Cricetulus griseus: one gene and its partner. Each later gene encodes a partner of the first gene's protein in a complex. Links are inferred from orthologs where the notes say so. Each region holds a gene or a part of one and is shown on either strand. Other genes may lie near its edges. The genes, in order: Alk and Alkal2.

What was found.
Region 2: the proteins of Alk (region 1) and Alkal2 are in contact, whole or in part, in a cryo-EM structure (PDB 9G5I), measured with the Homo sapiens proteins. The link is inferred for Cricetulus griseus from reciprocal best matches to the Homo sapiens genes ALK and ALKAL2. Residues at the interface, in NP_004295.2 of Homo sapiens: Leu684, Tyr739, His755, Ser758, Leu760, Phe856, His857, Glu859, Leu965, Tyr966, Thr967, Pro968, Leu970, Lys971, Val972, Met973, Glu974, Glu978, Asn980, Val992, Glu994, Cys995, His996, Met997, Phe1007, Asp1009; in NP_001002919.2 of Homo sapiens: Ser112, Lys113, His114, His116, Arg117, Leu118, His120, Asn121, Thr122, Arg123, Asp124, Arg133, Arg136, Leu137, Arg140, Leu141.

The regions. Positions count from the first base shown.
Region 1 is NC_048600.1:10,992,387-10,996,722, forward strand, and holds the start of Alk (ALK tyrosine kinase receptor), read left to right. Parts: upstream 1-1,377; coding exon 1,378-2,059; intron 2,060-4,336. UniProt on the Homo sapiens protein: Neuronal receptor tyrosine kinase that is essentially and transiently expressed in specific regions of the central and peripheral nervous systems and plays an important role in the genesis and differentiation of the nervous system.
Region 2 is NC_048600.1:32,865,723-32,870,143, forward strand, and holds the start of Alkal2 (ALK and LTK ligand 2), read left to right. Parts: upstream 1-1,369; coding exon 1,370-1,619; intron 1,620-3,540; coding exon 3,541-3,594; intron 3,595-3,675; coding exon 3,676-3,756; intron 3,757-4,421. UniProt on the Homo sapiens protein: Cytokine that acts as a physiological ligand for receptor tyrosine kinases LTK and ALK, leading to their activation. Cytokine-binding is sufficient to activate LTK. In contrast, ALKAL2-driven activation of ALK is coupled with heparin-binding to ALK.

The DNA of each region.
Region 1 (4,336 bases):
TTTTCTTTTGCCTCCAGTTTTATTTCGGAACCTGCTCTTCTGAAGTCGGACATATTTAATCTGTTAAATGCATAATTAGAGAGAATGCTTGGTTGCAAAGATCATTTCCAGTTTTCCCATTTATCCAAAATACTCTCTTGTTCGCACAGCGGAGAAATAGGGCAGACGATCCGGAGGAAGGAATAAGAAGCAACAGCGGGAGGCGGGGCGGGCTTGGTGCTTTTCTCAATGAATACCGAGGCCTCTGCAGATTTGCATAGGAGCGGACCTCGCAGCACCATTGGTTGGCAGGCAAGGGAGGGGGCGGGTCTGGCATGCGTGGGCTGGGCAGCTGCGCTGAGTTCGCTCAGGAGTCCCGCCTCCACTGAGGCCCCGCCCCCTCTCGGCGCGCGCTCGCGGCTCCGCCAGCTGCAAGTGGCGGGCGCCCAGGCAGATGCAATCCAGCGGCTTTGGGGGCGGCGGCGGCAGTGGCAGCTGGCACCTCCCGCTGCTTCTGCCCAGGGGGTCTCCGGGCAGCGAAACGCCTTCCGGCCGCCCCCTGGCCAGTCAACAAAACCGCGGGCGCTGCTGGTAGGTGAGGAGGGGGCTAGATTGCGGACTCCCCTGCCTGAAATGCTTTTACTCCGTGGCTGCGGCCGGGTCTGCTCTGGTGCCTGGGAGTGAACTCCGAGGAGCCAAAAACGTTGGTGACAGCAAGGACGCCGCAAACTTGCGCGGAGGCAGTAGGAGCCTCTTCTCCGCAACGCAGAGCTTGCGTTCACGCCCAGAAGTTCAGCGGGCAGGGTGATCCAAAGACTTCCTGCAGCGGAGGTCACTTGAGAGGGCGCTAGAAAGCAGCCCCCTCCGGTGGTCCTTGCCTAGACCTGGGAAGGAGATCAGAGGAAGTGACAGGAGCGGAGGACGTGGGCAAGACAGTGACCAGCCCGGAGCCAAGGTTCTCAGCCTGGAAAGTTGCGGTACATTGGAGGCTGCGAGGAGAGATTTGGTCACTGAGATCTCCTAGAACGGTACCTAATTGCCACCTCCCTTCAGTGATAGTTTCTCTGGTCCTAGAGCGAAGGCTGCTACAATCAGGCGCACAGCACTCCTAGCAGACTGCGAGAGGCTCAGGGTCTAGCTGTTGACTCCAGCGTGTCTCACGGTCTCCGGACTCGTCCCTGACTTCCAGATCGGTTTTGCTAAGAACGCTTCTTGCCTACTTGCTTACTTGGGGGAAAGCAGAAGAATTGAGCCCACTCACAATCCCTGAGATCAAGAGAAAGGGGCTGTTCAGGATCAAGGACTGTTTGGAACCCCTTCCTGTGGTGGAGAGAGTGAAGGGCTAGGCTGGGCCAGCGAGGGAAGGGACACTAGTATAAACTCTAGCCTTCCAGCGGGATGGGAGCCCTTGGACTCCTGTGGCTGTTGTCGCTGCTGCTTTTGGCAGCAGCCTCGGACTCCGGAGCTGCAACGGATCAGCGCTCGGGTTTCCTGGCCGCAGGGCCGCCTCTGCAGCCCCGGGAGCCACTCAGTTACTCGCGTCTGCAGAGGAAGAGTCTGGCGGTGGACTTCGTGGTTCCCTCTCTCTTCCGCGTCTATGCCCGAGACCTGCTGCTGCCACAGCCGCCGTCCCCCTCGGAGCCCGGGGCTAGTGGGCTGGAGGCACGGGGATCACTGGCTCTGGACTGCGCTCCTCTGCTCAGGCTTCTGGGGCCGCCGCCTGGGGTCTCCTGGGCAGACGCAGCCAGTTCGCCCAGTCCCGAGGTGGGTTCTACGCTGTCCAGGGTGCTGAAGGGAGGCTCTGTGCGCAAGCTCAGGCGTGCCAAACAGCTAGTGCTGGAGCTGGGTGAAGAGGCGATCCTTGAAGGCTGCATTGGACCCCCAGAGGAGGCAACGGCTGTGGGAATACTCCAGTTCAACCTCAGCGAGCTGTTCAGTTGGTGGATTCACCACGGCGAAGGGCGGCTGAGGATCCGCCTGATGCCTGAGAAGAAGGCATCGGAAGTGGGCAGGGAGGGAAGGCTATCCACTGCGATCCGAGCGTCCCAGCCCCGCCTTCTCTTCCAGATCTTTGGTACCGGTGAGCAGCTCCCACCAGAGTGTGTTGGGATTTGCATTTTAGTTACACCAACTTGGAGCCACTATTAACTAACCCATACCCTTCTTAGACTTTTTTCATCATTCTTGAAATTAGACCCGTGGCTTTTTTTTTTTTTTTTCTTTTCTATGAGCTTGAGCATAATCACTTCCCAATATATCGGTTTTTCTTCTTTAGCAATCAAGTTGGGAGAAAAGTTTCAGTGTTGATAGAATGCCTCCCACCGACTTAGACATGACCCAATTGTATCGTAATTGGATGTCCTCCTTCCTTGTCTCTGAGAATGGTTGAAATGCTCCCATAACTCCTAAATTCCAAGTTCTAACAAGGCCTCAAACTGTTGCCCTCTCTTTTGAACTCTTGTTCCTCTTTTAGGCCACCACCAATTTGGGGAATGTGGGTAGAGTTTCCCAGAGAATATAGAATTCCTCTTTATCTTGAGTCTCAACCAGCCTCCCAACCCTGGCCCTCCACCCCAGTACTGGCTAGCCCAGAGGTTCCCTCCTCCTTAATTATTCATTCTGCCATACCAGAATCCCCCAACCCCCGTCTGTTTTGCACTATCAGCCTGTCACTCTTCTCACATGTCCTGGCAAAATCCCAGGGGAACTAAGGAACAAGAGGCAGGAGATTTGTGGAGAAAGGAATAAAAATGGTTGAAGTTGCCTTGATTTGGGAGAGAAGCAATAATTGTCTATTGCTTTTCTCCCCCACCCCCTTTGTTTTCCCTGGGAGTCTTATCCTGCATGTATGTAGCAGCTGCTCTAGATGACAGTCTCTGGCGGGCTGATTTCACTGCTGGAGGCTCCTGGAATGAGGTTTCTGTTTTGTTTACTCCCACATTCATCAAGTTAAGGCTGTGTGTGCAAGCACACACTTCTAACTCTTTCACTAGTGTCTTTTGAATGGCAAACCAGGTGGTTTTGAATGAATGTTTTTCTCATAGGACCATGGGGGAAGGACTTGTGAATGAATGAAATATTCAATGTAAATGATGAGAAAAGTCACAGAAAGAGAAATTGTGTTTTTTTTTAAAGAAGCCCACACTGATTCCATTGAGCAAAACTAGCTTCTTTTCTATCATTCTCATCATCAGAAATAAATGAAGTTCTTATGCTCCACTGGTTACTAATATTTAGTATTAATTGGATGGAAAGCATTGAATGGCGCCCATTGTGGAGGTACAATTTCTCCCATGCTTGCACACACACACACACCACTTCCACTACACTCAGTGCTCTCTCGTAGCAGAGCTACCAAGAAGCTGAGGGTCCCTGTCATTGCATAGAAACTACTGGCATGCGGTCCTCAAGGAAATCAGAGTGTGGGTCTGTATCTCAGCACTGGCATTGGTGACATCGGTAACACTTAAAACAACCCTTTATGATCAGTGCTGGGGTTTATATTGTGCCTAGTGAAAGGCAGGGTCTGATGAGCTTGGCAGTGCCTTCAGTGAAATGAGAGAATGAAACTGTTGTCCCACTAAGGAGACTTTTGTAAAGAACATCTGGCCTGTAATGGCATTGTGGCTTCTGTGGTTTATATATGCAACATTCTCTTTTAGTGTCCGATGCTTCTGTAATGAATGTACAAATGACTCTCTGGAAAGACAAATTTTCATTCACTTTCATGTCTTTGAGCATTGCTGGAGCTTCTGCATCACTTCTTGTGATATGACCATAAGCCCCAACCATCTGTATCAACTGTTATCACATGTTGATGGCTGGCAAAGGGGTTATTTTCCAGCCCTGAACCTGCCAACTATAGACAGGCTGCAAAGAAACTATCAGTGGATGTCTCACATAATGCATTTGAAGAACATACTGCTGTAGTTGAGCCCCATGTGAAATCAAACCATGCTTAGGGGAAGTTTCATGTAGAAAGGGGTGTCTCTCAATAGCTGTTCTGCTACTGGCTGCAGGAAAGCAGTGAACATCCAAGCTCTGTCCCAGGAGTGCAGTCCATTTGGCAGCTGGGCCAACCCTTATGTATCCTTTGACACATATAGAAATGCTGGCTTCAGAAAGAGCCAGGAGTCTGCCATTAAAAGGCTAGAAATTTTGGCCAAGCATTTTAGGCAAGATTGGGATCAAATGGTTATTGATGGGATCAAATAAGACACTAAGTGTAACTGGATGAGCTCCCTGTGACCTCCAGAGAGACAGACAGCTTATTCAAAAGCACTTCAGGCCTTGTGCTCACACTTGAACAGGATGGCCTCTCTTGTCTCTGAGAACATATGTTAGGCAGCTAGCCACA
Region 2 (4,421 bases), about 22 Mb from region 1:
CCCACAGTGATCCCCTCCTCACTCCTGGCCAATGCGGGTGCGCACTTGCAAGGCACTGCATCTTCACAACAGCTTGAGCAGCTGCGGGTTAAAGATCCAGGCTTTTAATGCTTGAGTTCTCCCTTTCTGACGCTGTACTAAGAACACCTTTCCCGATGTGATCGCTGACTTGGAGGACGTCCAGCTCCTGCCCAGAAAGCACCAATGAAATGGGAAACTGTGCAGTTGGTAATACTTATCGCAAGAAAAAAAAAAAAATCAAGCAAGTAAATTGCTGTGCCCTTGCAAATGTGCCTGGCTAGATCCAACAGATCCAACTTTCTTAAAGATGCACCTTGAGTGGTAAGAGCTCTGGAGCCGACTCGTGGACCAGCAGTGTCCCTACTCCAAGGACCTTGCAGGTTGCTTAGGTCCCTCCAAGTGCAAGGCGTTCCCCATCATCTTCTTCAGACCCTGAAACCTGCCTGTGGCCAGGCAGATCCCTCCTCGGAAAAGTCCAGACTCTGGATGACACTCAATGTCGAGGCAATCAAGCAGCTCCTTTTAAATAGCCCAAGATCTACATTTAGACAAAAACAGATTCCAGTTCCCGGTAAAGGCATTTCTGCTCATCCTGTCACTTGTGACAGGAACGGAGGGAAACAGACTGCCGGAGAGAGAGACAGGAGAGGCAGAGGAAGGACGAGAGAGGGGGAGACCAGACGCGGGTGGAGACGTGAGGGAGGGGCGGAGACTGAAGACTGGGCCGGGAGGGGACGGGGGAGGGGATGAGAGCGCGAGAGGCGGAGGGGCCTGACGAATATCCGCGCCCCGGAGCAGCGCTCGGTGGTTCTAATTAAAGCAGCGCTCGGAACCCGGGGGACCCGCCTGACGTCGGCGGCCGCGGGGATAAGAAGCGCCCGAGGACAGCGGGACTTGGAGCAGCAGGGTCGGCGCTGTCCCCGCAGGAGCTGTGCGTCCTGTGTCCCTGCGCTGGACAAGTGGAGCTGGAGCTCATAAGTAGTGTCGGAACTGGGGGACGGAGGAGCGCCGCAGGCGCAGAACCTACCGTGTGGGCTCAGGTGCCCGAGGGCAACGTGGGATCCACCGCGTGGTCGCAGGTGCCTGAGGGCAGTGCGGGACCCACAGCTGGCAGGTGCCCTGGCCTCTCAACTCCAGGGTGGCCCAACTGCTCCGCAGCTCCAGACGTGAGGCCGGGCTACACCTGTGGCCTCCTATCTCTAAGAAGTGTCCAAGACCCCGCGCGCGGTTCCCGCGGTGCAAGAAAGTTGTGCGGCGCGGTCTCTGCGCGGACTCCGCGTGCGGGAAACTTGGACTCCGGCTAGTGGGGCGGCGGGTCCCAAGACCCGCGACGCAGGCCACCGGGGCAATGCGCGTGTCAGGGCGCCCGCTGGTCCTTGTGCTGCTACTGCTGAGCATGGTGGGGGACCGGGGACGCGCGCAGCCCCGCGAGCCTGCAGACAGGCAGACGCTGCTGAGGTTGCTAGTTGAGCTGGTCCAGGAGCTGAAGAAATTCCACACGGGAGACAAGAGACTGCAGCTCCTTGGCGAGTCCGACTTTGCCCTGGGCGGCAGAGAGGCCACGGATTATGGGGCAGACCCAGAGGAGCAGAGAGTGGGTGAGTGTTCCTCAGTGTAGACACGAAGGACTCAGTGGGTGAGAGCTCAGCAGTGTAGACCATAATATGACATAGAGTAAGGGAGGGTTCTGGCAGGGTAGGCTTGAAAGGCAAAAAGTAATTAGTGAGTGTCTGGCAGTGTAGAGCTATGAAGATAGAGTGTGGAAGAGAGAGCCCTAGTCTGAGGAACAGAGTGGGTGAGTGTCCAGCAGCTTAGACCACAAAGTACAGAAAGTTAATGAGATTGAGCTGTGGCAGTATGGACCAGTGGGGTGGAGAGTGGATGAGGATCCGGGCAGTGTAGACCAAGAAGAACAGGAAGTATCTTAGTAGTGTAGACCTGAGGGGCAGAGAGTAGGTGACTGCTGAGTGTCTAACAGTTCCAATCTACTTGGTATAGAGTGAATGATTGTTCAATAATATGGACCACGGGGAAGAGAGTAGGCGAGGTCCTGGCAATGTAGACCTGATAGACAGGAGTGAGTGAAAGTGAGTCTTGGCAATATGGACCTGAGAAACCAAGATGCCTGAGTGTCCCTCAGTGTAGACCTTAAGGAAAAAGAATGAGTGAGATCCCGTCAGTGTGGACCGTGAAAGAGTTCTAGCCACAGTGTGTACTGAGGAGCAAAAAGTGGGTATTGGCAGTGTGGATGAAAGGGCTACCTATCTGAAAGACACATTATATTAGTATTTTCTTAAATAGAATTTTTTAGAAGCAGTTTTAAAGATGAATCCATTTTTAAAATTTTAACTAAGGGTTTTTTGTGTTTGTTTTGTTTTTTATTGTTTCTCAAGAAAAAGAAACTAGCAGAAACAGGAGACTGTGTGAGAGCCTCCAAAATAACAATCCCAATTCACTTCTAAGATATGCTGGTGCCCAGTTCAGAATACTCTGCTCTTCTCAGGGGAAGGTTCCCAGCCCACCATTTCCAGCAGAGGAAGAAATGGCCAGAGCTTCCCTGGTGGAGCCCTTCCCAGAGTGGCCCATGGGAATTTCTCAGGGAAGCATGCAAGCTTTTAATGCTTTCATGACAGAATTAGGTCAAATATGAGAGGGTCACTTTTGTGTAAACTGACTCAAGTAAGGAGTCCATGAAGAAAGGCTTTAGGGAATAGTCTCCACCTCCCTCATGAAAGGCTCAATGTCAGTGTCTCTCTTCGGCTATTAAGAAAGAGAAGACTAGTATTTCTGGTAAAATAAAATGTGACATTTCACAATCATAAGAGAAGTTATTGGCCTCATGTGGGTCAGAGACTTAGAAAATGATTACAGAGACTGAAAATAAAGCAAAAACAATATCCAAACTCAGGGGAAAACAAACAAACGGGGAACCATCATGAGGGACCAGGTGCCAATGAAAAGCATGATTATGAGTTGGTGTTTAAAATTCTTTCCTTGGAGACCCTACTTTCCTTATAAATCAAGGTGATGTACATTCCCATCTGTTTATACTAGCCTCACTATCAGAGTCATAAAGAAATTAAAACATCACCTACAATGTATACTGTTCAAAAACACACTTTTTTTGTTTTGAAGATTCAGGTTTATTTCTAGAATTTTTAAATGCTGTGGAATTTGATTTCAAAGTTCTTTGAAGTGTTTACAAGTGGTTCATCCATTGGAACCTATCCAAAACCATTTTTTTTCCAAACCTGTAACTTTATGGCCTGTAACGCTTATCATATCCAGAGAAAATAGACTGGTAATATTGGAGTTTTATGAGTAGTTAATGCTGCTTGAGAAAAACCATGCTGATCTAAGTATCCACATTCTATTATGTGCAACTACCAAGTGTTGTCCTAGTCTAGCCAATGCCTTGTAGTATAGATAATGGGATTCTCAAAAATTTCCTCCACATTCACTTAAGATCACACTTAACAGGTGCGTTGTTCAAGTAATACGATTTCTCACCCCTCATAGAGATTGTTCCTCGAGATCTAAGGATGAAGGACAAGTTTCTGAAACATCTCACAGGTGTGTGTTCCCTTCGCTCCTCCGCCCTCCCTGCTCCTTTTTTGCCCTGAGTCTTTGTGACTTTCTTCCTCTGTGTTCCAGGTCCTCTTTATTTCAGTCCGAAGTGCAGCAAGCACTTTCACAGACTTTACCACAACACGAGAGACTGCACCATCCCTGCATGTAAGTGAGCACCCAATAGGCAAATGGCGCTCCACTCTTTCTTTTCAGTGCAGCAGGTCTGCTTTTTGACAGGTGCGGGGGCCTGAGTGTCCTTACCTGACTGGATTGGGGCAGGGTGCCTAGACATTGGAGCAGATGGCTTAAACTCTGTAACAACCAATCCCACTGGAAAGTATTTACCTCATGATAACCCACTGGACGTAATCAACTCTTGCAATGGACTGAACCCTTCCTTTCATTCACATTCTCGTTTTGTTTATGAATTCCAGCACAACGTCCATATTCTATTCCAATGGACATCACACAGATTAGGTGTGACATGCTCAGGTGTCTGCTGGTGGTCAAAGTGTTGGGGTATAAACAGTCTGGTTGGCCTGAAATTTCCCTGTAAAACTTTTTTTGACTACCTCCACTGCTCTGACCAGTGCTGTTTTCTTTCCATGAGTAATAAAACCCTCATCACCCAAGGTTTTGTTTGTTTGGTTGGTTTGGTTTTGGTTTTGGTTTTGGTTTTGGTTTTGGTTTTGAAGACAGGGTTTCTCTGTGTAGCCCTCACTGTACTGGAACTTGCTCTGTAGACCAGGCTGGTCTTGAACTCACAGAGATCTGCCTGCCTCTGCCTCCTGAGTGCTGGGATTAAAGGCAAGCACCACCAATGACCAGCC